Cricetulus griseus: one gene and its partners. The protein of the gene in region 1 interacts with the protein of each later gene in a pairwise test. Links are inferred from orthologs where the notes say so. Each region holds a gene or a part of one and is shown on either strand. Other genes may lie near its edges.

Region 1 (10,254 bases):
GCTTTTACAGAGGATCTGGGTTCACTTGCCAGCACCCACATTGAGACTCACAGCTGCCTTTAACTCCAGTTGCAGGGGATCTAGCACCCTCTTCTGGCCTCCACGGGCACCAGGCATGCACATGCTACACAGGCATACATGCAGGCAAAACACTCATGCACATAAAATTTAAAAATATAAAAGATGCAGAAAGAAAACTGTGAGCCTTCTTTCTATCTAGGAGTAGCCTCTGAAAGCTGGAAAAGAACACAAACAGAATCATCGTCCCATTTTAGACTCCTAACTGGAGTGTATAAAGAACCCGTGTTGTCTTAAGATTATAGGGCTATGGTAATTTGTTACAGCAACAAGAGATTATAATATATCAACTTATTACTGCAAGCACTTCCCCCTTTAATCACATGTATATTCCTGTTTTTAAAGTCTCTCTCTCTCTCTCTCTCTCTCTCTCTCTCTCTCTCTCTCTCTCTCTCTCTGTCTCTGTCTCTCTCTCTCCCTCTCTCTCTGAGGACAACCTCAGGCCCATAAGTTTCTCCTGAGGACTCATGCCTCTACTTCCCGTCTCGATGCAGAGGAGTTGGGATTACAGATGCATTACCACATCTGGTTGTAGAAATCTGAACTCAATTCCTCAGGCTTTGCTAGTCCTTGAACCACTAAACTGTCCTGCCACCAGCCACCATATTCCTCTTTCTTACCTGGTTTTATGGACCTAACAATTCTCTGGCTCTAGAATCAACTTTTGATTAGAATCAACTTTTGATTAGAATCAACTTTTGATTAGAATCAACTTTTGATTTTTCTGAAGTTAATAGTAGATATCCTTTTCCTGCACATGTTAGGCAAGTTGTCTGAGCAGTAAGTGATGACTTAGATAAGACACAATGGAGACACTCAAGCTTGCCCCGTGACTGTGACCTGGGAAAGGTTAATATCCCTTTAGGTCTCAGTTTCCCTATGTGTCAGAAAGGAATACATAAACTCAGTGGGTCTCTACTTTTCTATTGAAGACCATTTGAAAGCCACGAAAGCTATTGACTTTCTCCTAGGAAACAAAAGTCACATATGTACATTCACACAAACTTTGATGTTTCCCTAGCTTAGGATCCGTGGAGAATCCAGAGGCTAAATTATCTCTAAACTCAAGACATCTGGAACACTATCATTATTTACTGTTGTTGTTGAGGGGGAGAGAATTGAGAGGACTGAGGAGACCACTTAGCAGTTAAGGGCGCTTATGGTTCTTCCAAAAGGCCAGAGTTCGGTTCCCAACACCCATGTCAGGTGGCCTACAGCCCTCTATAGCTCCACTCCTGGGAAATCTGAAGCCCTCATCTGAACTGGCAACTGCACTCATAAGCACATCACACACACACACACACACACACACACACACACACAATTGAGTTAGGTATGGAGCCTTAGGAAGCAGAGGCATGAGGACAACATGGGGTTTTACATAGTGAAACCTTATCTCAATAAAGGGAGGTAGAATTGAGATTTTGGGGTTCCTAGCACTGCCCATTGTCAGCGTCACTGTGCCTTTCTAGTATATTAAAATAATAATCAGAATAAGCTCCATTTTATTCACTTAGAACTCCTCTCTTGCTGCACTTTAACCCACTGCAATCTACAGAATTTCAAACTGTAAGCTCTTTTGGGTCATGTGATTCAGTTCCCTTCTGTGGCCTGACTCTGTGTACAGCATCCTCAGCAGATAGGGAAGGGCCTGGAGAATAGCCTTTTTCATCTCTAGACAATACTTCCAGGACCCTCTACCTAAAAGCAATGAAACTTGGTGTCAAGGGTTTAAAAGGATCTAGGCATCCTCAGAAAATACTTTGGAGCCTGCATCTTTTAGTGGGGTTAAATATTTTTATTAAAAAGCAAAGCAAAAATCAGTAACAATTTTTCTTTCTTTCTTTCTTTTTTTTTTTTTTTTTTTTTTTTTTTCAAGACAGGGTTTCTCTGTGGCTTTGTTTGGAGGCTGTCCTAGAACTAACTCTTGTAGAAAAGGCTGGTCTTGAACTTACAGAGATCCACCTACCTCTGCCTCCTGAGTGCTGGGATTAAAGGAACCACCGCCCGGCATTCAGTAACAATTTTAAAAGCAAAGTATAAGCCAAGTGTGGTGGCATACGTCCATAATCCTAGCACCTGATAAGTAGAGTCAAGAGGACCAGGAACTAAATGCCAGCCTCAGCATAGGATGAGTCTGAGACCAGCCTGAGCCACAGGACCTCTTAAATAAACAAAGCAAATTATAAAACCTATTCAGGAGCTGGGTGTTGGTGGCACACACCTTTAATCCCAGCACTCAGGAGGCAGAGGCAGGCAGATCTCTGTGAGTTCAAGACCAGCCTAGTCTACAAGAGCTAGTTCCAGGACAGCCTCCAAAGCCACAGAGAAACCCTGTCTCAAAAAAACAAAACAAACAAACAAACAAAAAACCCTTTAAACTCAGCTGGGAGAATGGCTCAGTGATGAGCTCTGCCCTACTGAGATGATGATGGTGATGGCGATGGTGGTGAAGGTATTGATGGTGATAGTGGTGACAGACAGCACGAGACAGAGATAGTATCTCCTCTCCTTGCCAAAGCCCAAGTCACTGTTGAGAATGAAACCATTTATCTTTTCATTCTGCCTGACACAGAATTAACTTACCTTGCTGGACATGAAAAATTAAGAAAAGCAATGTCAATAGAAACTAAATTAAAATAAAAAAGGCTGGAGAGATGGATCAGTCAGCAAAGCGCTTATGCAGAATAATGATCACAACAAGCGCCCATAGAAACTTTAATCCCAGCACTGGAGACGCAGAGACAGGAGGATCACTGGAGTTTCCTAGAAACCAGTCTAGTTGAGTTGGTGAGCTATGTGCTCAGTGAGAAATCCTGTCTCAAAAATACCATACAGAGGGGCTAAAGAGATGGCTGCTTTTCCAGAGGACCTGGTTCAATCCCCAGCACCCACATGGCAGCTCACAATTATCTGTGGCTCCACGATCTTATACCCTCACACATACAAACATGCAGCAAAACACCAATGTACATTAAAAAAGTAGCACAGAGAGTAATTGAAGAAGACACCCAACAGCAACCTCTGGCCTCACATGCACACAAATGCATGCACACTCCAACTCTTATATCCATATACACAAAAATAAAACTAATAAAACTAAACAAACAAGAAAGGAGCTTAAAGTTTAGGTATCACCATAAAAAGGAACACAAGAAGGGCTGAGGAGATGGCACTGCAGGCAAAGTGCTTGCTCACAGAGCATGAGGACCTGAGTTCAAATCCCATGTCCCACATGAAGTTAGATGGCATAGCACACATCTATAATCCCAGCTCTCCTAGGAGGTGAAGACTGGGGAATCTCTAAAAGCTTCTAGGCCTCTCAACCTGCCATATACAGATGAAACAAAACATCCTGCCCTGCCTTGTGGTCATGGTGCGCCTTTAATCCCAGTACTCAGAAGGCAGAGGCAGGAGGATCTCTGAGTTCAAGGCCAGTCTGATCTACAGAGTGAGTTCCAGGACAGCCAGGGCTATACGGAGAAACCCTGTCTCCAAAAAAACTAAACAAACAAAAACAATAAAAAAAAACCCTGCCCCAGACAAGGTGTCAGATGAGGATCAACACCTGACCTGACCCACACACACCATCCAGGGCACAGCATCCCCACGCCCACACATGACCTGCACACAGACTCAAAGATAAACGTGGAAGACGTTCAAGTTATTAAATGGAGAAGAAAAATTCCTCTAGTAAAAGCTCCACTGCATAGTAAAATGAATGAAATAAACCAGGAGGAGGAGCCTGGCAAGTTAATAAAAACTCTCTACTGAGAGCCAGGTGCGGTGGAACACATCTTTCATCCAGAATTAGGTAGGGAGAGGCAACATTGGTGAAGCAAGCCTTGTGAGTTCCAGGCCAGCTGGGACTACATAGTGAGATCCTGTCTTAGAAAAGAAAAAAAAAAAAATACTGGAAAACCCCACTCAACTCCAGAGTCTTGAAACAGAATCTGGCTAGACTGGCTCTAGGGACTTTGAGGTACACAATGGTGGTGACCAAACCAAGAATAGCATGTGCCATCTGTGTGTTGCTGTATTTTTATATTTTAACTCTAAATTTAGCTGACTTCATACCTGTACTCAGCACACACACACACACACACACACACACACACACACACACACACACACACACTTCTCTGAATTGCTATTTGTGTCACTTGGGCTTCTGATTAACTCCTTGGATGACAATGAGCCACATGCCCTGGTTCACAGCGTTTTCCTGAAGGTCTTAGAAGGTGTGGTCAGAGGAAAGAGAATTTAAATACTAACCAAGTTATCTCTGAAGCACCCACCCCATGACAGCTGATGCTGTAGCCACTCACCTGTCCAGCTTATCAGAGGCTGCTTCATTCAAACCACACAAACACCAGACATGTCACTCCAACTGTGATCAGAAAATACTGTCATTCTAATGTAATCACTATGTAGGGAGGTTGTTTGCTTGTTTTAAAATAAAGATTAAGTACTATTTTTAAAATTTTAAAATGTTGATAGTTCCATATAGACAAGATTGTAGGGAAATGGGGATGCTTTAACAGATACTTTTAAAGCTGAAAACAGCAACCTCCTCCTAATCACATGCCCTAGAGAAGAATCACCCTGTGCACCTGTGCTCACCAATGGCCCTACAGAAGAATCACACCATGTAGCTGTGCACACCGATGGCTAGAGAAGAATCACATTGTGTATGTGTGCACACTGGAACACATTTTAATTGCAGGAATGTTAGATTTTTAGATAAATGGGAACCCATTAAATGTCTCTTGATTGGAAAATAGACAAGTAAAATGTTGTACATATATTTACAGGGTGGAATATTTACAGTAATATTACTACATGATATCCCATGTGGTTTACAGACCAATATGGAAAGCTCAACACATAGTTAAAACAACTGGATATTTGGGGATATACAAGATGCATCAAGACCAGCAAGACGACTCGGGGGATAAAGGTGCCCACTGCCACAGCTGAGGACCCGAGTTCAATCCCTGGAACCTACATAGGGGAGGGAGAGAATTGCCTTCACATGTCCACAATGGCACATGCACACCTACATACAAGAACACACACACACACACACACACACACACACACACACACACACACACAATTTTTAAAGTAACAAAAACAAACAAGGTATCTGTAGACTTACTGTCCTCACAAGGATAGAGTCAGAAACATTGTTTAAAGGAAAAAGCAGGCTCATCTGACCCTGAAGCATATCATTTCCATAAAAGCAAGCAAGCAAACAAACTGTGGCTATCCAGTTTGCTCAGTGCAAATCAATGTTTGAGGTAACATAAGAATGTTCTGGAAAAAGTTGATTTAAAGTAAAGCACAAGTTACCCCTGAGGTAGAAACTGGGAAAGACTCTTTTGAAAGTAAGTGGATTCTTTTATTACTTATAATTAGTACTGATTTCTTAAAATTTCAACAAATGTTTTATAGTCTAATGGGTTTATACAGACTTTTAGCCTCTTTTGTATATCCAAAGACTCTAAAAGAGATTTTTGTAAGAAAATGTTTCCCACTTCACCACATCCACCCACCCACCCCCAGCCTCCCAGCCACATTCTCTGTGATAATGTGCCTAAAGACCCCTACTCAGCTTCGCCACCCCGATGGGGGCCATAGAGAGTTAGAGACAACGACTCCTTGCAGAAAAGAAATACCAACAGAGAGCTATCAGAAGTGAAATTTGAAGGGCCAGCAAGATGGCTCATTGTCAGAGACACTTGTCAATAAGACTGACTATCTGAGTTCAATCCCTGGAGGCTACATGGTGGAGAGAACCAACACCAAAAATTATCCTCTGGCCTTCCCATATTCACTGTGACAAGTATATGTTCCACACTGTGGTGTCCGTGTTCTACACACACACACACACACACACACACACACACACACACAAATAAATAAATGTAATAAAAATTTTAATTACAAATTAAGGATCCCTTGAACTTTATTCCTTCACCTGATGATTTTGGGATTCAGAATTTGAGAGTGTGATACCAGTCAAACCAGTAGTGGAGAAGGCCACTTCCTGCATGCCATACCTGTCGAAAACCACTGCAGAATAAGCCCGCTCAGCAAAGACGACATCTGCAGCCCAGAATTCTTTCGTGGCCTTCAGACCTCTGCCTTTGCCCTCTGAAGTGAAGACCTCCACATTCTCCATGCTGCCTATTGTCATCTCAGAGTCTGTCAGACCTGTGGTGTGGGTAGCTCACACTGAGCCAAGCCTCTTGTCCTTGCTGCTATTTAGCACCTTCATGTCCCAGAGGGCAGGACTATAAATGGACAGGCCACCTCCCCTTCCCTGCTCCTTTCCAGAACTAGGCCCTCACCTCCCCCTTCATCACTATTTCAGGAGGGAAAAGGCAAACAAGCAGTGACCTGACAAGGGTCTCATTCACCACTTGGAAAAGATGCCAAGACAGAAAATGAGCACAGGCTAGTGTGGTCCTGGCATGAAACCCTGTTTGAAGATAATCCCTGCATGTGGTATGTTCTGGACTGCAGTCGTGCTCATCTTGAGTTGAAATCAAGAGCACTTGGTCAGTAGGATATTTTTAGCCTCCAGATGTCTCTGTCAATCAAAAGCAGACAACTGGGGGAGACAGAGAGAAAAGGCAAGGTAATATTGGCTGCTCTGGGACCCTTCAGCTGTCAGACCCAGACTTTCTCAAGTGAGATGGGCCCCTTGGCCCATCCCACCCCGTCTTTCCCCATGGCAAGAAATAAATAGCAGAAACTAAAATGGGCCTTTGGCATACACATACCAGATGTCCCTGGGTCTCTCCCAGCAGCGCACTCCATGGCATGGAGGTCAGAGGTGCCCTGTGCTTAGAGCATCGCTGATGGTGCAGAGAGCTGGATGCAGAGGGCCAGGCTTTGAAACTAACAGCACCCATCCCCACCTTTCTACCAACTCCCCTCAAGCCAATGTCTGCTGCCAGGAAAACATCAGCGTGCCCTGCCCTCCCTCTCACCCAGGAGGAAGGACACCATAGGGATAATCCTAAAATCCCTGCGAACTTAACAGCACTCCTTAGCCAGCATTGGATCTCACTGAGCGAGGTTGAGGGAAAGGCCCTCATGGATTCTGCGCTGTGGCCTAGCTTCTATGTAGTATTTTTAGTCTCTGGGTATGTTTAGATTCTAGACTGTTTAGATTCTAAACTTTGAGTCTGACCCTCAAAGTTTAAGTGTCGGAAAACATAACTGAATAAAAAAGGAGTGAGAGAGAGAGAGAGAGAGAGAGAGAGAGAGAGAGAGAGGAGAAAGGAAAGGAAGGAAGGAAGGAAGGAAGGAAGGAAGGAATGAAGGAAGGAAGGAAGGAAGGAAGGAAGGAGTATGGAGAAGATTTTTATTGTAGATATAAGGGAGGAAGCAGGCAAAGAGAAGAGTCCAGGCTGAACATGGCTGGCAGACTAAACTGAACCATGAAAGGAGAGAAGGGATGGGAGAGCAAGAGAGGAGTCCCTGACTGAGAGGTGGCCCTGGCCAAGAGGTCAAGAGAGGTGCTAGCTAAAACAGGCAAGTTATATAGGGATCAGGCTGGGGGCAGGGAAGAGGAGGCCCAGCCCTGGGAGGGGACAGGGTGAGGGGCACTGGGAGGAGGCACAGGTACTGAGTGAGACTTGTCCTGAATTTGAGACCTAACCATAATCAGTGTGGAGAGGCAGCACCTTCAGGAATGATTAGTTCATTAGAGCTCTGCTCTCATAAATGAATTAACCCCATTGTCAAGGGAATGGATTCCTGCTTTAAAAAAGGATGAGTCCGGCTTCTCCCACCGCATCTTCTGTCCACAGGGGACTTTCTGCCATTCTGTGATACAGAAGGTCTATCATTAGCCTCCAGAATCAGGAGTCAATACATTTTTGCTCATTATAAATTACACAGTCTCTGACATTCTGTTACAGCAATACAAACAAACCAAGACACACTGGTTTCTGGAAGACCCTCCGACCTTCCCACATCTTTACAACTGTAGTAGCTCACAAACACTGAGTCTGCTGCTACCACCTGAAAAGGGAACCTATGGAACAAGCGTGGCAATCTCTGCCTCCATGGGCCATGGAAAGCTTTAAATGAGGTGATATGTTCAAGGGCAGCACAGCTCTTGGCATGCCATAAAGCACTCATTCCGTGGTGGCTGTTTTGCTCTGCTTTCTTTATCCTGTCACAGTCTCCTCCAGTTATCAGGATACACCGGAAGTTCCAATGTGCTTTCAGCCAAGGAGTTCCAGTGCATCTTCAGCCAAGTTGCTTGTCTCAAAACTCCTTTGAGACTTGGAAACACATCCAACCCCCTTGACATACAGCAGTCCTGATTCTCGAAACATGGGAGCTAGAGAATCTCAGTGATTTCAGATATATCCCGAAAAGCAAAACAACTCAAAAGCATTTTAGACTAGTGCCTGAAAAGGTAAACATCAGGGCTGGGTGTGGTGATGCCCACCTGCACTCCCAGCTGTTTTAGGCACTGTTCTATCGCTACGAAGAGACACTATGACCAAGGAACCTTAAAAAAGAAAGATTTTAACTTGGGGGCTTGTTTACAGTTTCAGACAGTTAGTCCATGACCATTATGGCAGGAAGCACTGTGGCAGGCAGGCAGGCATGGGTGCAGGAGCAGTAGCTGAGAGCTTGTATCTTACCTGCAAGATGGAGGCAGAAGGAGAGAGACTGGGCTTTTGTTGTTGTTGTTGTTTTGTTTTGCTTTGTTTTTTGAGATAGGGTTTCTCTGTGAAATAGTCCTGGCTGTCCTGGAACTCACTCTGTAGACCAGGCTGACCTCGAACTCACAGAGATCTGCCTGTCTCTGCTTCCCCAGTGCTGGGATTAAAGCTATGAGCCACCACCACTCTGCTACATTGGTGTTGGTTTTTGAAACCTCAAAATGATACACCTCCTCCAACAAGGCCGCACCTCCTAATCCTTCCCAAACAGTCCCCCAGCTGGGAACCAAGCATTCAAACATGAGCCTATGGAGCCATTTTCATTCAAACTGTTGTGCCCAAGTTGCAAAGAACCCCAGAGACCACAAGAAAGACAGACAGAACCACCAAACTGCAAAAGCAAGATTTTATTCATCCAACCATGACAGGAACCCTGTCTGGCTAGCTGACGCAGCAGCCTCCAGAGCGAGTGAAGTTCCCTGTCTACTGCTAGGTTTTAAAGACAAAAGTTACAGGATTACATCAGTAGATACAGGTTGGTTTCTGATTGGTTGACATTTGGAAACAATTAGGAGAATTTCTCAAAGTCATATTTTGGCATGAAATACCTGTGTACCAATTATTCTCATTGGTCAGTGCTGAGAGGGAACATTTTGTGGTTTCTATGGCTTTGTCTTATCACTTGCAGGTGGCCTGTTGTACATAGATACCAATATTTTTTAGAACTGTATCCCGGAGACTACAAGGGAGGTTTTGGTTTTTCCTGGTGGTCAAACAGTTCTCAGGAACCAAGTATCTGGTGGTGGGGGGGTGGGATCTGGAGTTTCTTTGTGTTCAGTTTTGGCCCTGGGCCCCAGGAGGCCAGGGGATCTGGAGTTTCCTTGTGTCAGAGGCCTATGTGTCTTTTCTGTAGCCTGTCATGGCTGCTAAAGCAGGGGGCTGAGTGAGGGTCTGGTCCCTTCATTTCTAGAAGTGAAGCCTTTTAGTTTAGTTTACCCCTTTCAAAACCACCACACCAGCTACTTTAGGGGCTAGGGAAGGTGGATTGTGAGTTTGAGATCATGTGCTAAAAAGTATGACCCTCTCTCAAACAGTTAAGAAGAGGAAGAGGAGGAATAAGAAAGACAATAAAAACCAAAAAACTAAATACCACTAATGCCAAGAGGGTGAAAATGAAAGTATGAAGGAGTTAGCTTCCAATCAGTGCCCTGTATCAACCCTGCTCTGTAATTCACAGCCTTCGCTTTGAGGATAGTGCTCAGTCTGGCAAGAACTCAAACCTACTCTAGATGCTGTACTGGGACACGGTCAGCCTAAACCATGGTCAAAGAAGAAATCTACCTGCCCTGAGACTGAGATGAAAAACAAAGACATTAGGTTCTGAGCTTTAGCTTTATCTGTGCCTATTCATCTGATCACAGTACAGTTATGTGTTAGGAAGACTGATGGCCCTTAGAAGATGTTCAAGTCCCCAAAACTA
Region 2 (10,214 bases), on another chromosome or scaffold:
CATCAGGGTGCAAAGCCTTCAATTGCAGTATCCACAAGCTCTCTTCATCTTTTGTAATCAGATTAATTTTCATTTATTTTTTATCCACCCCGTGAATTGATTCTCATTATTTTAAAAGGTCAAATACTAAAAGGCACAAATGGATACAAGTTTACTAATCTTACACACCCTTTCTAAATGCAGGGTGCCAATGTTAATGTCTGGGTTTTGTTGTTGTTTGGTTTTTGTTTTTGTTTTGTTTTGTTTTGTTTTTTTTTGAGACAGGGTTTCTCTGTGCAACTTTGAAGCCTGTCCTGGATTCGCTTTGTAGACCAGGCTGGCCTCAAACTCACAGAGATCCGCCTGCCTCTGCCTCCCGAGTGCTGGGATTAAAGGAATGCACCACCATTGCCCAACTCAGTTAATGTCTGTTTTATAGATAACATGCATCTATAACTTATACTTGAATATATATGTATACTTATGTTTTTAGAGACAGGGTTTCTTCTCTGTGTAGCCCTGGCTGTCCTGGAACCCACTTTATAGGACAGGTTGGCGTCAAATTCACAGAGATCCACCTGCCTTCACCTCCGATCTACTAGGATTAAAGGTGTGAGCCAGCCCCAGCATGTGGGAGGTAGAGGCAGGTGGGTCTCTGTGAGTTCTACAACAGCTCTATAACAGTTCTACAACAGGAGGTATTCATCAGGGCGCTGATCCCCCGTCTCTTCCCCCACCCTGGACTCTTGAAGCTGGCCATTCCTTCAGTGGTTTAAAACTCTAACCAAGTTCTAAAACACCACCAAGATCAGAAAGAGGCAACCCAACTATGCTTCCTTGCTTCAGTTCTTTCTTGTTGCTTCCCCTTGCTTCTCCCACTAAGCCTTGGAGCTCCTGTTTGTGTGGTCACCAGAGAAGCCACAGTGATGATGGTAACGACACATTGTGGGAACTTATTACCCTTACCCGCTGTGTGTCCTCTGTAGGTGAGTCTGACCTTGAACTCCTAGTCTGCCTGTGCCAGCTTTCTGGATTGGTGGCATTGCCGGTGAGCCACAGGACTTTCTTTACACATATAATGTTTGTTCTCACATCATTGCTTAGGTTGGTTAACCCTTATTCCATGAAAAAGGAAACTGAGGCTTGGAAAGGTTGCCACTTGCCCAAATCCACACACCAAGGAGAGAACCAGGACTCAGATCTAAATTAGTCTGACCTGTAAGTTTGAACTTTGACAGTGTATTGTCTCAAGATGACTCTTCATTCCTTTGGCATTTAGTACAGTCATAGTCCACAGCAATTCTGGGTTCTTACTCGGCTCTCTGACGCTGAGCATACAGCCTATTCTATCTCACAGTTCTGTCCTTTCACACATACTCAGATCTTCTTTGTTCTTGGGCTGATCATTCTGGATGCCACCAGCAACACACACCCCATTTATTTTTAGACAGATCTAGTTTAAGGCTTTCATTTGCAATATGGTTTATTCCAAGACATTTACCTGAAATAAATATACTTTAGGGTTGTGTTCTGCAGTGGGGCCTCGTGTAATCCAGGCTGGTCTTGAACTCACTGTGTAGATGGAGATGGCTCAGATGAACCTTCTATCTGCACCTCTTGATTAGTGCAGGGATTATGGGAGTGTACCCCACAGTGAATTTTTTTATTACTCACCTTAAGAGACCCTAATATATTTCTGTCTGACTTTTTATTTTAAGCTCTTTGTCAGCCAGGGCTGTGGTTTATTCAAATGTGTGTCTTCATGTTCAAATAAGCCAACAGCAAATGTTACTAAATGAATCAATTTAGACACCTCTGGCCAGTCTCTGAGCAGTTCCACTCAGGTGTTTAAAGATTATTGCAGTTGCTGTTCAGGAAATAAAGACTCAAGGTCAGTGTGAGCACTCAGGACCCAGTTGTCAGACTTCTATCTATATAAGCTATATACCTCAAGGATCCTCACAGCCCCACACTACAAAGCCAAGGCAAGATAGTGCAAGCTGTAAACAAGGCAGCAGACCCTTTGCCAAAAACTTGAGGCCATAAACTCTCCAGGAACCACCTTGGTTTTACATCAGTGACATGTTATTTCATCAGAGCAAGGAGGATCCCTTTAAACTGCCTGACTGTAACATTAATTAGCGTACAATTATTTTACACCTTAAGACATAAAGTATGTTCATGCATTTTATGTGTGAAATAAGAAACAAAATTCAATATGGTTTTTAAAAACGAGTCCTAGCTATTACTGCTATGTTTAAAGCTGCTGTGAAAACATACACAGGGATGAACTGTATAATAATAAGATAGCATAAGTCTGTTTATTTCCACTTGAGTTGCTTGTGTTTCATTTTGTTAAATCATCCTGTTATAAATCTAGAGACTTTAACTAGCTCGGTGGTAGAGTATTTGCCCAGCATGCATGAAGCCCTGGGTTCAAAACTTAGCACCACAAATAAATAAATGAATTTAGGGAGTTCATTTTTTTTCTTCACATTTTCTTTCTTTCTTTCTTTTTTTTTTTTTTTTTTTTTTTTTTTGAGACAGGGTCTGTCTACATAGTTATGGCTGTCCTGGAACTCACTATATAGACCAGGCTACTTGCCTCTGCCTCCTGACTGCTAGGATTAAAGGCATACATATGCATCACTATTCCTGGCCTCTTTTATTATTTATTTAGTTCTTTCTTTCCTTCCTTCCTTCCTTCCTTCCTACTTCCAGACAAGGGTTCTCTGTGTAACAGCCCTGCCTGCCCTGGAACTCACTTTGTAGACCAGGCTGGCCTCAAACTCACATAGATCTGTCTGCCTCTGCCTCCTTAGTGTTGGAATTAAAGGTGTGTGCCACCACACATGGCTTTATTTTAGGTTTTTAAGATAGGGTTTCTCAGTGTAGCCCTGGCTGTCCTGGAACTCATTCTGTAGACCAGGTTGGCCCAAAACTTAGAGATCTGCCTGCTTCTGCTGGGATTAAAGGTGTGAGTCGCCATGCCCAGCCCATTTCATTTAAAAATACGTATTTTTTTATTTTATTATGTGGTTGTTTGTGTCCACGTAGGGTCTATGCTTACGTGAGTGCAGGTGGCCTTGGAGGCCAGAAGGGGGCAGCAGATCCCGTGGAGCAGTGCATGTTCTTAGCACTGAGCCATTTTTTCAGCTCCGTAACTTCCACTTTTATATTAGATGTCAACATTATCATTTAATGAAAATACTAGTATCGTCATTATCTGTTTTAATGTATAAGAACTAAATGACTAAGAGAACCTAGCCCCACAATTAGTAACTATGTGACACCGGGCAAGATGTTTTCCCTCCCTCCCCATCTCTCAACTTTCTCTCTGTAATATGTTAACAATTACTGTAATCATGCCTAGTGTTTTGTGTTGTAAACCTCTGTAGAGAGCAGGGGAGATGGGGCAGCAGTTAAGAGCACATAGCACCCTTCTAGAGGACCCTAGTGGATTCTCAGCGCCCACTTCTAGCAGCTCACATGCACCTGTAATTCCAGCTCCACGGTATCTAATGTCCCCTCTGGCCCCTGTGGGCACCTGCACTCCTGTATACATAAAGCCGGACACCATACACGTAATTTAAAAAATGAAGCAAATCTTTGAAAATAAAAAAGATCAGTAGAGAAGTTAGAACACATTTTACATACCACTGTAAAATTGTCACTAGCTTGTTTTTCAAAAATGAAACTGGAAAATAGCCAGTCTTGTGTCCACCGCTCGTCCTTTGGCGTTTTCCACTCGGAAGACTTAACCTAGGATTCGCGGCCTTTCTTTTCACTACGCCCATCTTCACCTCTATCCCAAACCTGTAGCCTGGGTTTAAGAAAACACTGAGCTCTGGGGAAGAGAATTAGCCTCTCGGCATTTTGAACTTTCCATGCAAGAAAATGAAGGATTACTCTTTCCTCCCCGCTTTAACCCTTCTCATACTGGAGTTACTCATTTGGGACCCCGAGGGTGGAGTCAGTCCCGCCCCCTGGTGCAGCAGGGAAGATAGATGCCGAGCCACCTGTCAGAGGGCTGTGGGCGGGGGCCGGGTCAGCGAGGCCCGCAGAACCGAAGGGAGAGCGCCGTTGAGCGCACGCTCAGAGCAGACAGCGGGAAGCCGGCAGGACCGACAGTCTTAGAAGACAGTGGGGTTGACCGCCAAAGGCAGGGAAAGGTGGTCAAGGAAACCCGCCAGGCCAAGAACGCGAGGTGACAGCAAGAAGGCGAGTCCAGGGCTAGCAGCTGCCGAAGCAGCCTTCCGCCCTATGCGCGGACGCGGAGCGGGTGGCCGAGTGAGGACGCGCCGGGCGGGCACTGTGCGCCGGCCCCGCTGGGGCGCAGGGGTGCCATGTCCCGCGAGCGGCCTCCGCGCACCGACATCCCTCGCAACCTGAGCTTTATAGCAGCGCTGACCGAACGTGCCTACTACCGCAGCCAGCGGCCCAGCCTCGAGGAGGAGTCGGAGGAGGAGCCGGGGGAGGGCGGGACCCGGCCCGGCGCCCGCTCGCGGGCTCACGTTCCGGGTCGGGGGCGCAGGGCCCGCTCTGCGCCCGCAGGTGGCGGCGGGGCGCGGGCAGCCCGCAGCCGCAGCCCTGACACTCGCAAGAGAGTGCGTTTCGCTGACGCGCTGGGGCTAGAGCTGGTCGTGGTCCGCCGCTTCCGCCCGGGGGAGCCGCCCCGGGTGCCCCGCCACGTGCAGGTGCAACTGCAGAGGGACGCCCTGCGCCACTTCGCGCCGTGCCCGCCGCGCGCCCGCGGCCTCCAGGTAGGCGCCCCGCCCCCGTCCCCGGGACCTCGGCCTCCGCGCTCCAAGCCCTCCTCTGACCCGCCTCCCCGCCCTCTCTCCTCAGGAGGCGCGCGTGGCCCTGGAGCCCGCCCTGGAGCCCGGCTTCGCCGCCCGCCTGCAGGCGCAGCGCATCTGCCTGGAGCGCGCCGACGCGGGCCCGCTGGGCGTGGCCGGGAGCGCGCGCGTGCTGGACCTGGCCTACGAGAAGCGCGTGAGCGTGCGCTGGAGCGCGGACGGCTGGCGCAGCCTGCGGGAGTCGCCCGCCGCCTACGCCGGCCCTGCCCCGGCCCCGCCGCGGGCTGACCGCTTCTCCTTCCGCCTGCCGGCGCCTCCGGTCGGCGGCGCCCTGCTCTTCGCCCTGCGCTACCGCGTGACCGGCCGCGAGTTCTGGGACAACAACGGTGGCCGGGACTACGCGCTGCTTGGGCCCGAGCACCCTGGTGGTGCCGGAGCCGCGGAGCCCCAGGGCTGGATCCATTTTATTTGAACTAGGCTCCTGCTGGCCACAGCAGGGACAAAACAGTGGCACCCAGGCGTGGGGGGAGACTGTGGCGCCAGGAACCCGGGAACCACAATTGGCAGATGGGTGGAGGGCGGTCCCAGAGAGTCAAGTCGAGGTGGCTGGAAACCGTCTGTGAAACTCAAGAGATTAGGGTGGAAAATGGCAGGTAGGTGTAAGCGGAAGGAACTCGAGATAAGAGGCCCAGAAGGGCTCTGGAAAGTGAAGCCTCCTTGGGCTAGGAAGCCCAGTGAAGTCATTCGGTTTGCTTCCCTCTCACTGGCCCTACCACCTCAGGTCCCCGTGCCCTGCCCACCCTAGCTTTATCTGAGCCGAAATTGCCTTGCTTAACCCCAGGAATTTGACCATTGCCCCTGGGCCCTGGCAGTGTGACAGCATTCCCTTGACTCTCAGCAGTTCCTGGCTTCAGTCTTCAAGGAAACATGGGAGAGAGTCCTTCAGCCACGGGGCGAGCCTTGGTGGCATCTGCAGATGGTGGCAAAACCAACTCCAAGCCTGCCCTTGTAGTCAAATAATGGGGCATCTAAGGGGTTTGCATAATCAGGCTTCCAGAAAAATGAATGCCAGCCTTACTTTTCTGGGTGCCTCTTAAAACCTTGAAGCACTTTGTGGACTGTCTGCGGAGGGACAGTGAATCATGAAAATCACTACTGATTTATTCTTTGTGCCTCTGAAAGAAGAGGAAACCACCAAGTATCTGTATGATTGAGCAGGTTATTTTATCTTTTTGGACTCCAGGTTCCTCTGTGAGAAATTGGATTTGAGTTAGGTGGTCCCTTAAGGTTCCTTTTTTTTTTTTTTTCTGGACAGGGTCTCTAGCCCAGGGTCTCCTGCCCTAGCCCCTGCTGTGCTGGGGTTATTGGTGTGAGCCACTATGTTTTTAGGGCTACATTTTGGTGTCTCATGATCTGTTCATGGCACAGTATAGGTTAGAAACTGTATTCTCCAATCTAGTGCTACAATTAAAGCCCACAGGGCAAGCCAGGTGTTGTGACACACACAGGGAGACTGTTGAGTTTGAGGCCAGCCAGCTAATATGATTGATTATTTAATCTATCCTGGGCTACATGAGACTGTCTCAGAAAATTAAAAGCAGCAGCAAGGCTTACCTAGCACAGTGAGTCTGTGGTTGGAGATGAGGATAGTCTCCCCCACACACACACCACTTTTTGGGAGTGGGGCACAGATGATCCAGGATACAGCCCATAAGCAGCCCATAGCCTCAGTGTGTTCCACGCCACAGCTCACCCTGTGCCATTTGCTCTTAACTTCCACAGACTTAGAGCCCCAGTCCCGTGAGAAAACGGAGACCAGTATTACTGTTAGGGAAAGTGATGCATGGTAGCCCCAGAATGGAACAGTTGGAACTCTGGAGGTCATGGGTATAAGAAATAGAAAACAAAAAATGAAGGCAGAGGTGACAGTTTGATCCATATCCAAGTCAATGAAATGGAGAACCTGGAGCCTAATGCAATGCCCACATTCACACCTCATGCCCTTCCTAGGGAGGCTCCAGGTGAGAGTTGGGTTTTGCTGGTTGTTTTTCCTTTCCTTGTCTTTCCCTTTCCCTTCTTTCTTTTTTAAGATTTATTCATTTATTGTGTATGCAGTGTTCTGCCTGCATGTTTGCTTACAGGCCAGAAGAGGTCACCAGATCTCATTACAGATGGTTGTGAGCCACCATGTAGTTGCTGGGAATTGAACTCGGGACCTCTGGAAGAGCAGCCAGTGCTCTTAACCTCTGAGCCATCTCTCCAGCCCCCTCACTTGTTTCTTTGAACATGTAGGACTTTTGCCTTTATTTCCACTCTTCACCCTTGTTGGTCTCTACGGGGCATCCCCTTTCCCTTGAGAAATCCCTGTCCACAGCCAGTTTCTCACTCCACCTCTTCCCTGCCAGGTACCCACACATCATTCAGAATTCAGTTTGGGGCTTGTCCCTTTGCCCCTGCAGTCATTCATCAAACATTCACATCTAAGCATCTTCTGACCTTGTACAGAAAACAGTTTGATGTTTCCTGGGGATCACCTTCAGGTTCAGCAAAGTCGCAGGAGGCACTGTACTGGAAACCACCAAACTCTGGTCACTCTCTAATCTTCAACAAGGAACCCAGGGAGACTGGGTGGAGGTTCCATTGTGGTGGCATCATTCCTAGTGTGTGTGTGTGTGTGTGTGTGTGTGTGTGTGTGTGTGTGTGTGTGACTGTTACTTCTTAACAGATCCTATTTAACTTGTGTGCTAAATGTGTGACATGCATGTTTAAAACAGCACTGTGACTTGAGCATTATCTCTTTTAGAAATAAGTCCAGACTCAGTAATTTGTTCAAGAGTATGGGATTGTGAGCCCAGGAGGTTCCCATAGTCTGTGTGGGTAATCATGGTGGTATGTATTTTTCTTTGATTAAGAACAAAATTAAAAACTTTGCTATATATCCTCTATCATAGGGAAAGACCATCATTCATTATGCTGTGCCTTCCTGTCCTCCAAGGGGCCCAGACTTTTACCCCACCTTCTCCTGTGCCAGCATTCCAGTTCTACAGGGTCAGAAAGGCACTAGCCCATGAGCCTGCTAGAGAACTCGGGAACCAATGTAAATGCCAGCTTTCCATACACTGGGTTCTCTCCTGGCTCTGGCCAACCCGCTATACCACCTGGCGTGGCATCTTTCCTTCCTCTCCCTCCATTATCCTTGACTAGGTACATTATTTATTTAGGTTTTTTGAGACAGGGTTTCTCTGTGTCTTGGAGCCTGTCCTAGAACTCGCTCTGTAGTCCAGGCTCTGTAGTCTAGGCTGGCCTCAAACTCAGAGATCCCCCTGCCTGCTGGGACTAAAGACATGTACCACCACTGCCCAGATTTTTTTTTTTCTTGCATGACCAGGTAAACTCTGATGTTCCTTGAGAAAGGTTCCTGGCTTAGGACAACTGCTAGGTGGTCTTTGCTGGGCTTCCTCTCTGGAACCCCTGGTATTATCAATTAGGTAAATGTGAGCTTGGGAGGGGACATCTGGATGAATAGGAGTCTTCTGGGTTCTTTGCTTTGGTTGTTTTTTATTTGTTTTTGTTTTGTTTTGTTTGAGACAGGGTTTCTCTGTGTAACACCCATAGCTGTCCTGGAACTGACTCTGTAGAGTAGGCTGGCTTCAAACTCACAGAGATCCACCAGCCTCTGCCTCCTAAGTGCTGGGATTAATGGTGTGCGCCACCAACACCCAGCATTTTCTGGTTCTTTACTGAGCTGCTACACACTTAAGAATAAGTGGATACTTTTCTCTAGTCCCCAAGGTTGGATGACCTGGACTGAGCTACCTCCTTGTGCACACAAATAATAGGTGCCTCATTCTTGGAACCCACAACCAACTAAGCTATCACTGTACCACAAACCTTGTAAAACGGGGGAGAGGGGCTATTATGTGTTGTCTTGTGTGTTATTTGTGTGCCTAGTCCCTTTGAGATTCCCAAAAGACTTTCCTGTTCAGATGTCGCTTTCCTGGTACATGAGTTCAAGATTCTCCCTGTCTCTGGCATTTCCTTACCTTGTAAGTGGACTAGTGTAGCAAAATCATAAATTCTACCACCAAAAAAAAGTGAGACTCCTTTCTTTGTTGACACCGTTCTTTCCAAGATTCACCTACACTTCTTGCAGTGCCAGTAAGCAAAGAGGAGTGTGCCCAGGGAGAGCAGAGCTACAGCCGTCTACTCCCACCCCCTTGCTGTCTTAGTCCAGCCAGACATGGGAAATAGTTATTAGTATTTGCTCAGATTAAGGTGCTCTGGTGGAGACTCTCTCTGTGGTTCCCATGCACTGGAAAGTGCCACAAGAGAACACTACTGTCCTTGACGAATCCCAGCAGAAATACCAGCAAAGTCCCTTTGACTTCAGAAAGCATCCTACACCTACCTGTCTGGTAGCTCTCCTTACCATAGCCTGAAAGGCCAGCTCCCAGATCTGCTCCAGGGTCGCAAGAGTAAACCTCAGAGTAGTGAGGGCTTAGGAAAATTCTTACCTATCTGAGGGTTAGACTTTTTCTGAGGGGAAAAATAAGAAAACACAGACACTTTCTGGTGATAACTTACTTCATCTTGAAAAATTCTCTCTGAAAAATCTCTCTTCACAGCTTCCTAATTAGCTCTGTAACCCTTCTCATATCTCTTTCTACACCCTTCTCTCCCACAGCCAAACTCTGAATGATAGGTTATATGTTACGTTTTCAGGGCCTGACCCATTCTCATAACACAAGATAAGTCACAGAGTTTCTCCTAGAGGGGTCACATTGGCAGGCCAGTGAGTAACCCGTGGCCATGGACATAGCTCTTTCCCAAACAGAAAATGACACTGGAATTCAATACTTGAACAATAATAGTTAATTAGCTAAACCTTGAATGGTAGGGAGTACAAGCAGAAAGTCCATTTATGTCTACTAAAGTTACTTTGAGCTCTGACCTTGAGTTAGCAAAACACCTGGGAAAATGACTTCATGTAGGGGCAACTAGTTTGCTTTGAATTTGTTCAGGAATCTAAAATTAGCTGTCTGTGTAAAAGGCTGTCTTTATGCCTGAGAATCCTATGTCAGTCTAAGTAATGAAAAATAATCCTACTGTTAATTCTATTCATCAAAATTATACAGCTTAAGCAGAAATCATCTTCCTGACTATCCACAGCTGTATGTGTGCACAAATAGATGGAATATATACATGGGATAAACACACAAGCAATGGGAAAACATGCTTAGCAGTTCTTAGGGAAGAAATGAAGTGGCTCGTGGGAGAAATTACAGACAGACACAATTATCTACAGCCAGTGATACCACAGCCTTGCTCCATTACTCATCTGGTGGGTCAGCCTGCTGAACACTAGTTGTCACCCCTGTATACCCTCCTGGCCCTTTGCAACCAGAAGCTCTTGGCACCTTTTCCTGGCCCTTCTTT
Region 3 (10,254 bases), on another chromosome or scaffold:
TGAACCCAGTTCTTCATGCTTGCTATGTCAAGCACTTTACCCATTCCCTAGAACATTTTTCAAGTAAAAGTTGGGAGTTTTTCTTTCATGAATTATTACTTAAAATATGACACCTGCAAAAGCAAGCTTCAAATCTACGTCTCTACACATTTCCAAAGGTTAGCCAAAGGAATCAGAATGTAATTATAAAACAAAAGTAGTACTAGAAAATGTATAGTCTAATTTTTTAGAAGGCAAAAAAAAATTAAACAAACAAACAAACGAAGTAGTACTATGTGGCTTCAGCCTACCCTACTGCTAACTCTCTGGCACTTGAGCCAATGTTTTGGTTTTGATTTCTGATGGTACTCAGGCTCAATCTAGGCCCTTGAGTCAAGTTTTCTTAAGTGAAGTTTTTGAAGGCACAGTTTTTGCAACATTATTCTGAACTATGTATATATTTTATACATTCAAAACTAAAATCCTGGGCTGGAGATGGCTTAGCACTTAGTACTTGCTTCCATGCACAGGACCCAGGATCAGTTCCCTGTATCCATATGTTAACTCACAACCAACTGTAACTCTAATTCCAGGAGCTCCAACACTCTCTTTCAGCCTCTGAGGGCAACAGGTGCACACAGACACATATGCAGGGAAAACACAGATACACATAAAAATGTTTAAATCTTTAAAAAAAAAAAATTCCTGCTGGGTGGTGGCTCATGACTTTAATCCCAGAATTTGGGAGGCAGGGGCAGGCAGATCTCAGTGAGTTTGAGGCTAGCCCAGTCTACAGAGCGATCCAGGACAGGCTCCAAAGCTACAAAAAAACCCTGTATCGAAAAACAACAACAACAACAACAAAAATCTTAAAAGTAGAGTGGAAGATGAAAAAGTCTGTCCTGCTAATTTGAATTGGATCTATCACTATGAACTCACAATTAAACAAAAGCAAAACGGCTGGGTGTGTTGGCCCACACCTTTAATCCCAGCACCTGAGAGACTGAGAAGGATTTGAGTTCCAGAGCAGCCAGGACTTTATAGTGAGACCCTGTCTAAGTAAATAAATTCTTAGTTCTATCCTTTCAAACAAGTCTAGAAACAGTAATACTCTGGTAGCAATGGTTATGCCAAACTTTCAGATATTTTTATATAATCCATTTCTCATCGAAATGACCAAGATTCCTAGGATAAACAGCCCTTTGCAGATGGCACAGCAAAAGCAGCCTAGGGTACCTTGTACCAGAATGTGCTCCAGAATAGAGGTGAGCCTAAGTGTCAAAAGACACTATAGTCAGTTAGAAAGAGTTTCTATGTCCAAACTGGTGACAATGTGGCCCTCAAAAAGGGTCCTTGTTGGTTATAAAATGAATGAACTCCCTGGTGGTATTATCCCCTCAAATCTCAAGTCTGTAATGGTTACCCTAGCTCTTTACTCTAAAAATCAACAAGGTGATAAAATCAAGCACTTAATCTGCATTTTAAGAAGAAATTTAGTTCATACCCAATAAAGAAAAATCTCAACTTTTCAGAGACTCATTTTAAGAGCTAAAAATCACTAAGGAAAGTTTAGTCAGAAACAAGTTACTTGCTTCCTGTCAAAGAGTTACTACCTTAAGGTAACATATAATCAAACTGCTAAACCACACCTTCACAAAAGACCTTGCAGCCACCACTTTAACATCAACTGTGTGGTGTTCCGATACAAAGTCCGGGGCATCACCTATTTAAGTATTCTTGCCAAATTAGGTTTTTCACTTTAAGCTAATTAAATCTTTGTTCCAAGGATGTCCAATCTTTTGACACTATTATTTACAGCTCTCAAAGAAACTGTACTATCAATCAAGTTACACACACGAAAACCTAATATTTTCAGTTTACAACTTTGTGTTGGGCTATATTGGGATATCCTTGGCCTTATGCAACCATCGATCAGCAGTCTGGTCTGGAACCAAACTCAGTTAAAAAGAAAGAGTAGTAAATGAAATGACACTATTATAGGTGGACAAGGTCAAGGCTAAACTGGCTCAAATGTTCTACAAAGCAACTGGTTTGGTCAGCTCAGTGCAAAAACAAACAAACAAACAAACAAACAAAAAAAAGAAAAGAAAAGAGAAAAAGGAGATAGTCTGGGTACTATCCTTTTCAACAAAAAGACATGACTAAATAAACATAGTCACCAAATGCAATTCATGAATCTTGACTGATCACAGCCTGTGGAGATACTTTGGAGCAACTGAGGAAATTTGAATGTAAAAATTTTGATGGGCACCGTTACTTAGTATTTTTAGGAAATATTTAAGAATCAAACGTGCTGGGCAGTGTTGGTGCACACCTTTAGTCCCAGCACTCGGGAGGCAGAGGCAGGCGTGTCTCAGTGAGTTCCAGACCAGCCTGGTCTACAAGTTAGTTCCAGGACAGCCTCCAAAGACACAGAGAAACCCTATCTCGAACCCCCCCCCCAAAAAAAAAGGAAAAGAAAGAAAGAATCAAACGTGGTGGTGGAAGAAGAAATCTAATTCTAGTACTTAGGAGGACAAGGCATGCTGTCTCAGCAACAGCCACAACAACAAAACATACAATATAGGAAAAACCGGTGATCACTGAATGTGGTACTGATATGGTCACTGTATTTTTTCGGACAACTTCTGTGAAACTGAAAAGTTTGAGGCCATAAAAGAAATTATATCACTCATGAGAAGTACAGCAGAAATACACCTGGGTTCAATTGTCAACATACTACTTGCATAGCCTAGAACGTGTTACAATTAATGTTACTAAGTTTCTGTCTCTTCTATAAAATTAAAATGTTATTATCTACATCATCCGGTTCTGAGACTAAGACTACATATATAAAAAGCAAAACACTGTTGCAGCAAAGTAAATCTGTTTTTTTGTAATTAAATATACAAAGTATAAGAAAACACTCATTTACATTCCACGTGGAAAACTACAAAAGACACAGATGAATTTTATAAATCAACTGGAAATCAGAGTGAATGGGAGGGAAAAAAATCAGGATCTACAGTATTTTTTTAAACCAAAAATTATCAAGAAAGCAAAAGTAAATATCAAATTTTTACCCAGCTTCTGGTATCTATTATATTGTAGTCTGCTTTTGGTATTAACTTATCTCCGCATAAAATTCTAACAAGCGGAAGAATTTTTTCCCGATAAACACACGCAACAGATTAGTATGCTGCTTATATATTTAAAAAATAAGTTTTGGTCTTAAATTCTGTAAGTTACTAGAAAGTACACGAACAACGCAGTTTACAATAGAATCCGGTTAAGGTTCACAAAAAATCAAACAGATACAATTTCCTTTAATCAGTAATAACTTAGTTGTCATTTCACTTACAGGCAACTCCTTTTTTTTTTTTTTTTTTTTTTAAGGCCGACAGTAAAATGACCAGATACAGAGATATCCTCAGGTAGGTGGGGGGTGGGGTGGGGGGGGAGAGGTGTGTTTGCATTCTCTTCCTCTTTTCTTTGAAAAGTGCGTTCTAATACCGGGCGTGGAGGGGAGGGGCGGCCGAGGAGAGGAGGGAACAAACAGGTCTGGGGCTCTCGGGTAGACCAGGTGAGCGGGTATCAACACACCTCACCAGCAGCACTGCATTGGGTTTTGGACGGATTGTCTTGCAAATCTGCTCCCCTGGAAGATCCGGGTGACTACTTCAGGTCCGCAGGGACCAAGGCCAGCCGCTCCCGACTCCCGGATTAAATACCAATGAGGGGACCTTGTGGGGTGTTTCCTCGCACGAATCAGAGTGACAAACCACGTTTCCTTTTCCCCGCCGCGTCCAGGTGGGCGACGCGTGGTGTCGGTTCCCGGGTTGGCCCGCCGTCTCCCTCCCTCCCTCCCCTTGCTGGCCCTTCCCTCCGTTACCTGCGGCGGGCGGTGCGGGGGTCCGGAGGCCTGTTACTCCTTCTCCTCCTCCTCCTCCTCCCCGCCAGACTGAGACGGCGAGGTGGCGGTGGCGGTGGCGACAGCGGCGGCGGCGCCGGCAACCCGGGGGGAGGGGGCGGAGCGCGCGGCTGGCTCCTCTCCTCCCCCGGGAGGCTCAGGGGACCCTATCTCGGGCCGCCGCGCCTAGGCCAGTGTGCAGCCTGGAACTGGGCGCGCATGGCGGCGCCGCTCACCAGCGCGCCCGCGAGGTGTGAGAGTGCGAGGCGCGACGGGAGCGCCCGGCGCCCGTGGGCCTGAGAGGAGGAGCGAGGGGCCCAGCCCGCTACGCGCGGGCGGCCGTTGGGGGCGGTTGCCGAGGGCGCGCGGCCGCTAGCGCTGGCCCGGCGCGGGCGGGGTGGGAAGGGGAAAGGGACTGAGGGGAGGGGAGGGGAGGCTGGGAGGGAGCCGCCGCAGCGCGCGTGCGGGCCGTAGCCGCTCGTTTCACTCCAGCCTGTTTGGGGGCACTTTGTTTGTGTCCCACAATGCTCTGCGCGGACGGCCGGGCTGGGGAAGAGGAGGGCGGGGCCGGGCTGAAGGAGGTACGCAGCTACTGCGCAAGCGCGGAGCGAGCTGTCCTTAGCCACTCGAGCCAGCCAGACACATACAAGTACCGCGGGCCTTGACCCGGTGTGTCCTCTTGTCTGCATACTTCTACATAAGCGCCATAAGGCCTGTCCAGTTTGTCCTGTAGCCGTGGTCTGAGCCTGCCCCAAGGGAAACGTTAGAACGGTTTGGTTTTCCTTGGCGCTAGAAGCCTAAAGAAACTGTTTTTGTTGTTGTTGTTTTGGGTTTTTTTTTTCCCTAGTGGTTTCTGTAGCTGCAAAGCACTCCAGCCCTTCTCTGTCGGGGAAGGAAATTGGGTGATGTGGACATTTTTTCTCACGTGGAAACTGAGGCCTGCCAATGCTTGTCCACAAGGGCCGCTGAGAACCTGACGAGCTCTCCTGCATTCTTCCCGATGGACAGGGATCCCTCGCGAGCTGTCTTGGCGTGTCTGGCATCCTCGCAGTGCTGTGAGGTTGCCCTAGCATTTTTCTGATTACCATGGCAGAAAGTGCAGTTCTGAGATGACTAGAAAAAAATCGGCCACTCGTTACCCCAACAGAGTGGCTTCTACAACCTAAAGCGACTGTGAACTATTCCCACCCCAACCGTAAACGGCTCTTCTCTGCCCCCGGGGCAGGAAATGTGCGGGTCACTTGACTGATGGGTCACTTAACTGATACTGTCTAAAGGGCTTTCAAGTTTTGGTCACCTTCAAAATCAGCGCTTAGGGTATTAAGACCCCCAAAACCCTAAGCTGTGACTTCCTTAGACCTCAGAGAACCAGACTTAGTGATTTAGCGCGGGTGGGTTGGTGGGTACTCCGGGAGTACCCCCGGTAGCAGGCGTCATTGTGCCTCCGGAAGAGTGGAGGAGGGCAGGATACCAGTCAAGGCGCTGCGCCTTGGGCGCTGTGCATTTGCATATGCATACTATGTACCCACAGCTCCAGCTTTTAAACCGAAAGACTCCTTTGTGCAAGGTAGGTTGATTTCCCAGCCAATAGACAGACACTTGACCTCTTCTGACTTTAATTCACCCTCCACAAAGCAAACCACCAAGCACCAGAGCACCCCTAATCAATGAAATCTACTTTCAAAAGTCAACAAAACCAAAGTCTATGTAGCCCTTCAAATTTCCAACAAATTTTCAAGTATATAGAAGGTATTATACTCTATCATGTTTTTAAATAAATTGGGCCTGTCTTTGCACTGAGAATTGAAGAATCTTACTATCTAGGGAGGTGCCTGAGCGTAAGGCTCTTGGTGGAGTATGTGCTGAAAACATATGTGTCATGGAAACAACTGGTCAAGAATCTAGTGGGAATAAAGTAGACATAAAGTTTTAGGGTAATAGACAGTCAATAAAAGAGCATTCAATTGGACTTTTCTAATTGTGACTCAAGGGGCAGTTGATGTTCATAGGACAGGCAGAAAACACACCACAACACACACACACAAACACACACACACACTCACACACACACACACACACCACACACACACACACACACACACACACACAGAGCTTTCATTTTCTTATCTCATTTCCTTTTCTCCCTTAAGCTTTGTCTATTTCTCATTTTGCCTCTAAAAATGTTATCATCCTCCTCTCCCATTCCCACCCTATGTCTGAAGAGTTTAGTAAGCAACAAGTAGCTGTTGATCTCTTAAAGGCAGAGTTCTAGATGCTTGGAGAGGGTGTGAGAAAAAAATACACAGAAGATTAACTGTTGCTGGAACCCTCTTCTGTATTTTGGTTCTGGGCAGGATCAGTTTCTGTGGCTTCTTCAGCCTCCCACCTCTTTTCTTCCTGAGCTAGCAGAGACTTGCCCTTGGGTTGCTGGAATAGGTAGACCTTTCTTTGACACCAGGTTGAATAATTCTGTTGGGAGGATTTTGTGAAACTGGAATCCTGTACACAGGTGAAACAAACAAACAGTATGAGGAACTTTTAATTATTAACTCAGTGTGGATGATTCTGAGGAATTCAAATTCCAGGCAAATTCCGGGGGGGGGGGTATTTTATCTATAAGCTGTTTGGGAGACTCGTTTCTGGTAAAAATGGTACTCTCTCATGGTAGACCATTACTGCTGAGTAGGAACTCAGTTATTTAGACCAAAACATATTTCAGAGGTAGAATGCTTTATACTCACCAGAAAGATTTCTGGTCTGACTGGAATTATTTCATTGAGAGCCCATTACTGCACAAGCTTACTTCCTGATAGATTCTTCCAACTGTATAAACAAAAGTCAATCTCTTTTCCTTACCTTGAAACATGCCGCTCTAATGTTCCCATTTCACCATCCTTTCAGTTGGTTGGGTCAACTTTGTCACTTTTCTACCCTACTGTAAACCAGTTCAATTGAATGATTCCTGTTAAATATGTTCTTCCCCACTGTCACCATCCTGAAATAGAGCAGATGGTACCTAGAAAATTGTAATATTGCTTACCTGGTTCCCAAAAGACTACCATCTCTTCACTGACAAAGCAGTAGCCAGAGTTGTAATGCTTGGCAACCATGTCAGCCAACAGCCAACAATTTCTATTGTTTTCAGGTAAAGTCCCAAGCTCTTACTGTGGCTTTCATAACACTACTGGCTGGGTTCTTCCTTGTCTCCTTCAAGAAACATGGCAGTCAAAGAGTTACATTTTTTTTTTTTTTTTTTTTGGTTTTTTGAGACAGGGTTTCTCTGTAGCTTTGGAGGCTATCCTGGAACTAGCTCTTGTAGACCAGGCTGGTCTCGAGCTCACAGAGATCCAACTGCCTCTGCCTCCTGAGTGCTGGGATTAAAGGCGTGCGTACCAACACCTGGCTACATATTTTTTTTTAACCTCTAAAATAACCATGCTTTTTCTTGCATTACATTATTTGGATATTGATGTAGCCAGTCGGTGGTGGCACACTCCTTTAATACCAGCACTCGGGAGGTAGAGGCAGGCGGATGTTTCTAAGTTCGAGACCACCCTGATCTACAAGAGCTAGTTCCAGGACAGCCTCCAAAGCCACAGAGAAACTCTGTCTTGAAAAACATTATTTGGATATTTTTTTTCTCCATCTTCAGATCTCTTCTTTACAGATTTGATAGTTCTATGTGATACAAATTGAATAATGTAAAACGTATTCGTTACGTAACTATACTGTCTATAAAATTGGTAAATTGTGTGCCGTTTGGGCTCACTGAGAAGCTGGCTCTAGAAACGGGGTTGCCTGCCCTCCCCCCATTTAAGATGCAAGCATGTTTTTCTCAAATCTTCCAAGGCCCCTTTGTCTGTGGATGAGCTGCCATCCCAGCACACACATACCCCTGTAATGGCAAGAGGGAAAAAAAAAGCCAAATAACGCAAGAATAAAATCATAGTGTCTTTGAAAACAGCTCTAACTAAACCATTTCTAATAGAGGTTACTATTGTTTATCCCATTATATTAAAATGACTGCAGTAGGGATAGGAAACTAAAGGTTCATCTGACTGATTTGGCTTGTCCAGTTGGTTTCTGCCAGATGGTTTTCAAAATCCAATTTGATGATGTTACCTTTCTGCTGCTATTTATTCTTTTCCTTTGAAGCATTTCCTGAGGTGACACTTTGCCTCTCTAGCTGGCTGCCTCCATGGGGCTTCCCTAGTCAGTGTCTGCTGGATTTTTTAAGTGCCCAATTGGATGATGTTTTGTTGTTGTAGTTTTCTTATTTCACCAGGTCCTCCCACCCTTCAGCCCCAAATAAACACACAGAGACTTATATTAATTATAAAACTGTGGCTGATGGCTAAGGCTTCTTATTAGCTAGCTCTGTCTTAATTATTAACCCATTTCTATTAATCTGTGTATTTCCATGTGGTCTTATCTTAGTGGAGAAGGGCCTGGCCTGTTCCTCCTTCCTCCACTACATGGTGTCTCCTTCCTGTCTCCCCTGCCTACCTTTCCCAGAATCCTCCTCATCTCCTAGCTCCACCTATCTTCCTGCCCCTATTGGCCAAACAGTGTTTTGTTCATCAACTAATAAGAGAAATATATGTACAGAAGGACATCCCCCATCAATGTATTGCTTCTATCTTGCTCCTTGTTATTGTATTTATTCTTTTTGTTTGTTTTTCAAGACATGGTTTCTCCATGTATCTCTGGCTGTCCTGGAAATAGCTCTGTTGACCAGGCTGGCCTAGAACTCACAGCTATGCACCTGCCTCTGCCTCCCAAAACCTGGGATTAAAGGCATGCACCATCACTGCCCAGCTATTTATTCTTTCTTTTGCATGCTATGTACTTACTAAACTTGCTCATTCAAAACTGGAAGTTCAGCTATTGTTTATCATTTTCAGACTATACAGAACAACAGTAATGCACACCATATGTGTGGTGTGCGTGTGTGTGTGTGTGTGTGTGTGTGTGTGTGTGTGTGTGTGTGTGTGTGTAATGTATATAATGTATGTAAGGAAAAAGGGCAAACCAAAGAAACACACCCTGAGCAGAGCGAAAGAAACACACTTTGGCCCTAGAATCAGAGCTAGTGTAAAAAAAATATACCCTGGCCACAAAATTAGAGCCAAAAGGCTAAAAAGGACCAGTGAAAGAAACACGCTTTGGCCCTGAAACCAGACCAAATCTTACACTGAACCCTGAGCAAAAAGAGCAACCAAACCCTAAGCAGGAGATCTAGCCAGTCTGAGCACAGGGACTGAAGTCTGACCAATCCCCACCCTGGAAATCTTCTCCCTGGAAAACTCCACCCCCAAGAAGCCCTAAATAAACCCTGTGCCTGTTCAGTTTGCTGCTGTCTTCTACTCTGGCAGACTCAGCTTCCCTCCTGGATTCTTCCCTCCCAATAAATCTCTTGAATGAGGTTTAAGTGAGACCTTCCTTTGCCAGAAAGGAGCTGAGGAGAGAACAACTTTTCATCTAAGACACGACACGGCAGGGCAGGGCTAGGGCAGGGTAGGGCAGCTCCATCTTGTAGCAGATAGCCATGACTTCATATGGGCAGCATTCAAGAGTTTGGACAGATTAGTGTTCTCTTTTGGAAGGAGGGAGAAGCTTATGGAGCTTCTTCAATGGGGCTCACAGGGCTCATGAATCTACATGAAATCTTCACAACGTCCCTCCACTCTCCAAGGTTATATAGTAGGTGGAAAGTTGATTAGAGGTTGGGAATTCCTCAGTAGTATGCTTTCTCATAAATTGTTCTAGAGACTCTAAGTGGTGTTTCTTTTCATGAGTGATATTGTACAGGTGGGACTCTGCAGTGCTATTGCTATCCATATTTTCCCAGGGGACTTCCTGGTGGTAGAGTTGCCTTGTGATACCCATGCTTCCATGGGCAATCCTAATATAATACCTGTTTCCCCAATCTGGACTTGGATGGAAGCTCTCTTTAGTCTGTTAGTGCTGCTCCATGTAGGTGAATAGTTTCCCCAGGAAAATTATCATGACACCTAGTATACCTAGCATGTAAAGATGAATACAGAATGGAGTGTTCATGGAAGAAATCCTGGGGTGTATCTTTTTTCTATGCATTGCAGAATGGTTTGCCTACAACCTGTGATTGCATTGGCATGATATCTGCTGGAAACAATGAGACATGCAACGAAGGCTTATCTGTCTGTCCAGAGGGAACTTGACCTGGAAGTAGATAGATAGGCATGTAGTTGGTTGTTTTACTCTTTGGGGGCCTGCCACCCAGCTCCCAAATAAACACACACAGAGTCTTATTTATAAATGTCTAGCCTTAGTTCAGCTTATTTCTAGCCAGCATTTCTTAAATTATCCCATCTACCTTTTGTCTC

What was found.
Region 2: the proteins of Smyd1 (region 1) and Homez interact in binary tests that used the Homo sapiens proteins (3 or more experiments, as listed by UniProt). The link is inferred for Cricetulus griseus from reciprocal best matches to the Homo sapiens genes SMYD1 and HOMEZ.
Region 3: the proteins of Smyd1 (region 1) and Zbtb44 interact in binary tests that used the Homo sapiens proteins (3 or more experiments, as listed by UniProt). The link is inferred for Cricetulus griseus from reciprocal best matches to the Homo sapiens genes SMYD1 and ZBTB44.

What each region holds. Positions count from the first base shown.
Region 1 is NC_048601.1:62,947,197-62,957,450, forward strand, and holds the start of Smyd1 (histone-lysine N-methyltransferase SMYD1), read right to left. Parts: upstream 6,357-10,254; 5' UTR 6,281-6,356; coding exon 6,144-6,280; intron 1-6,143. UniProt on the Homo sapiens protein: Methylates histone H3 at 'Lys-4' (H3K4me), seems able to perform both mono-, di-, and trimethylation. Acts as a transcriptional repressor. Essential for cardiomyocyte differentiation and cardiac morphogenesis.
Region 2 is NW_023276807.1:210,069,445-210,079,658, reverse strand, and holds the start of Homez (homeobox and leucine zipper protein Homez), read left to right. Parts: upstream 1-5,250; 5' UTR 5,251-5,424; coding exon 5,425-5,431; exon of another isoform or gene 5,432-7,728; intron 7,729-10,214. Other genes in the region: protein phosphatase 1 regulatory subunit 3E, read left to right, coding at 4,326-4,742, 4,828-5,250. UniProt on the Homo sapiens protein: May function as a transcriptional regulator.
Region 3 is NC_048597.1:143,465,586-143,475,839, reverse strand, and holds the start of Zbtb44 (zinc finger and BTB domain-containing protein 44), read right to left. Parts: upstream 4,369-10,254; 5' UTR 3,872-4,368; intron 1-3,871. UniProt on the Homo sapiens protein: May be involved in transcriptional regulation.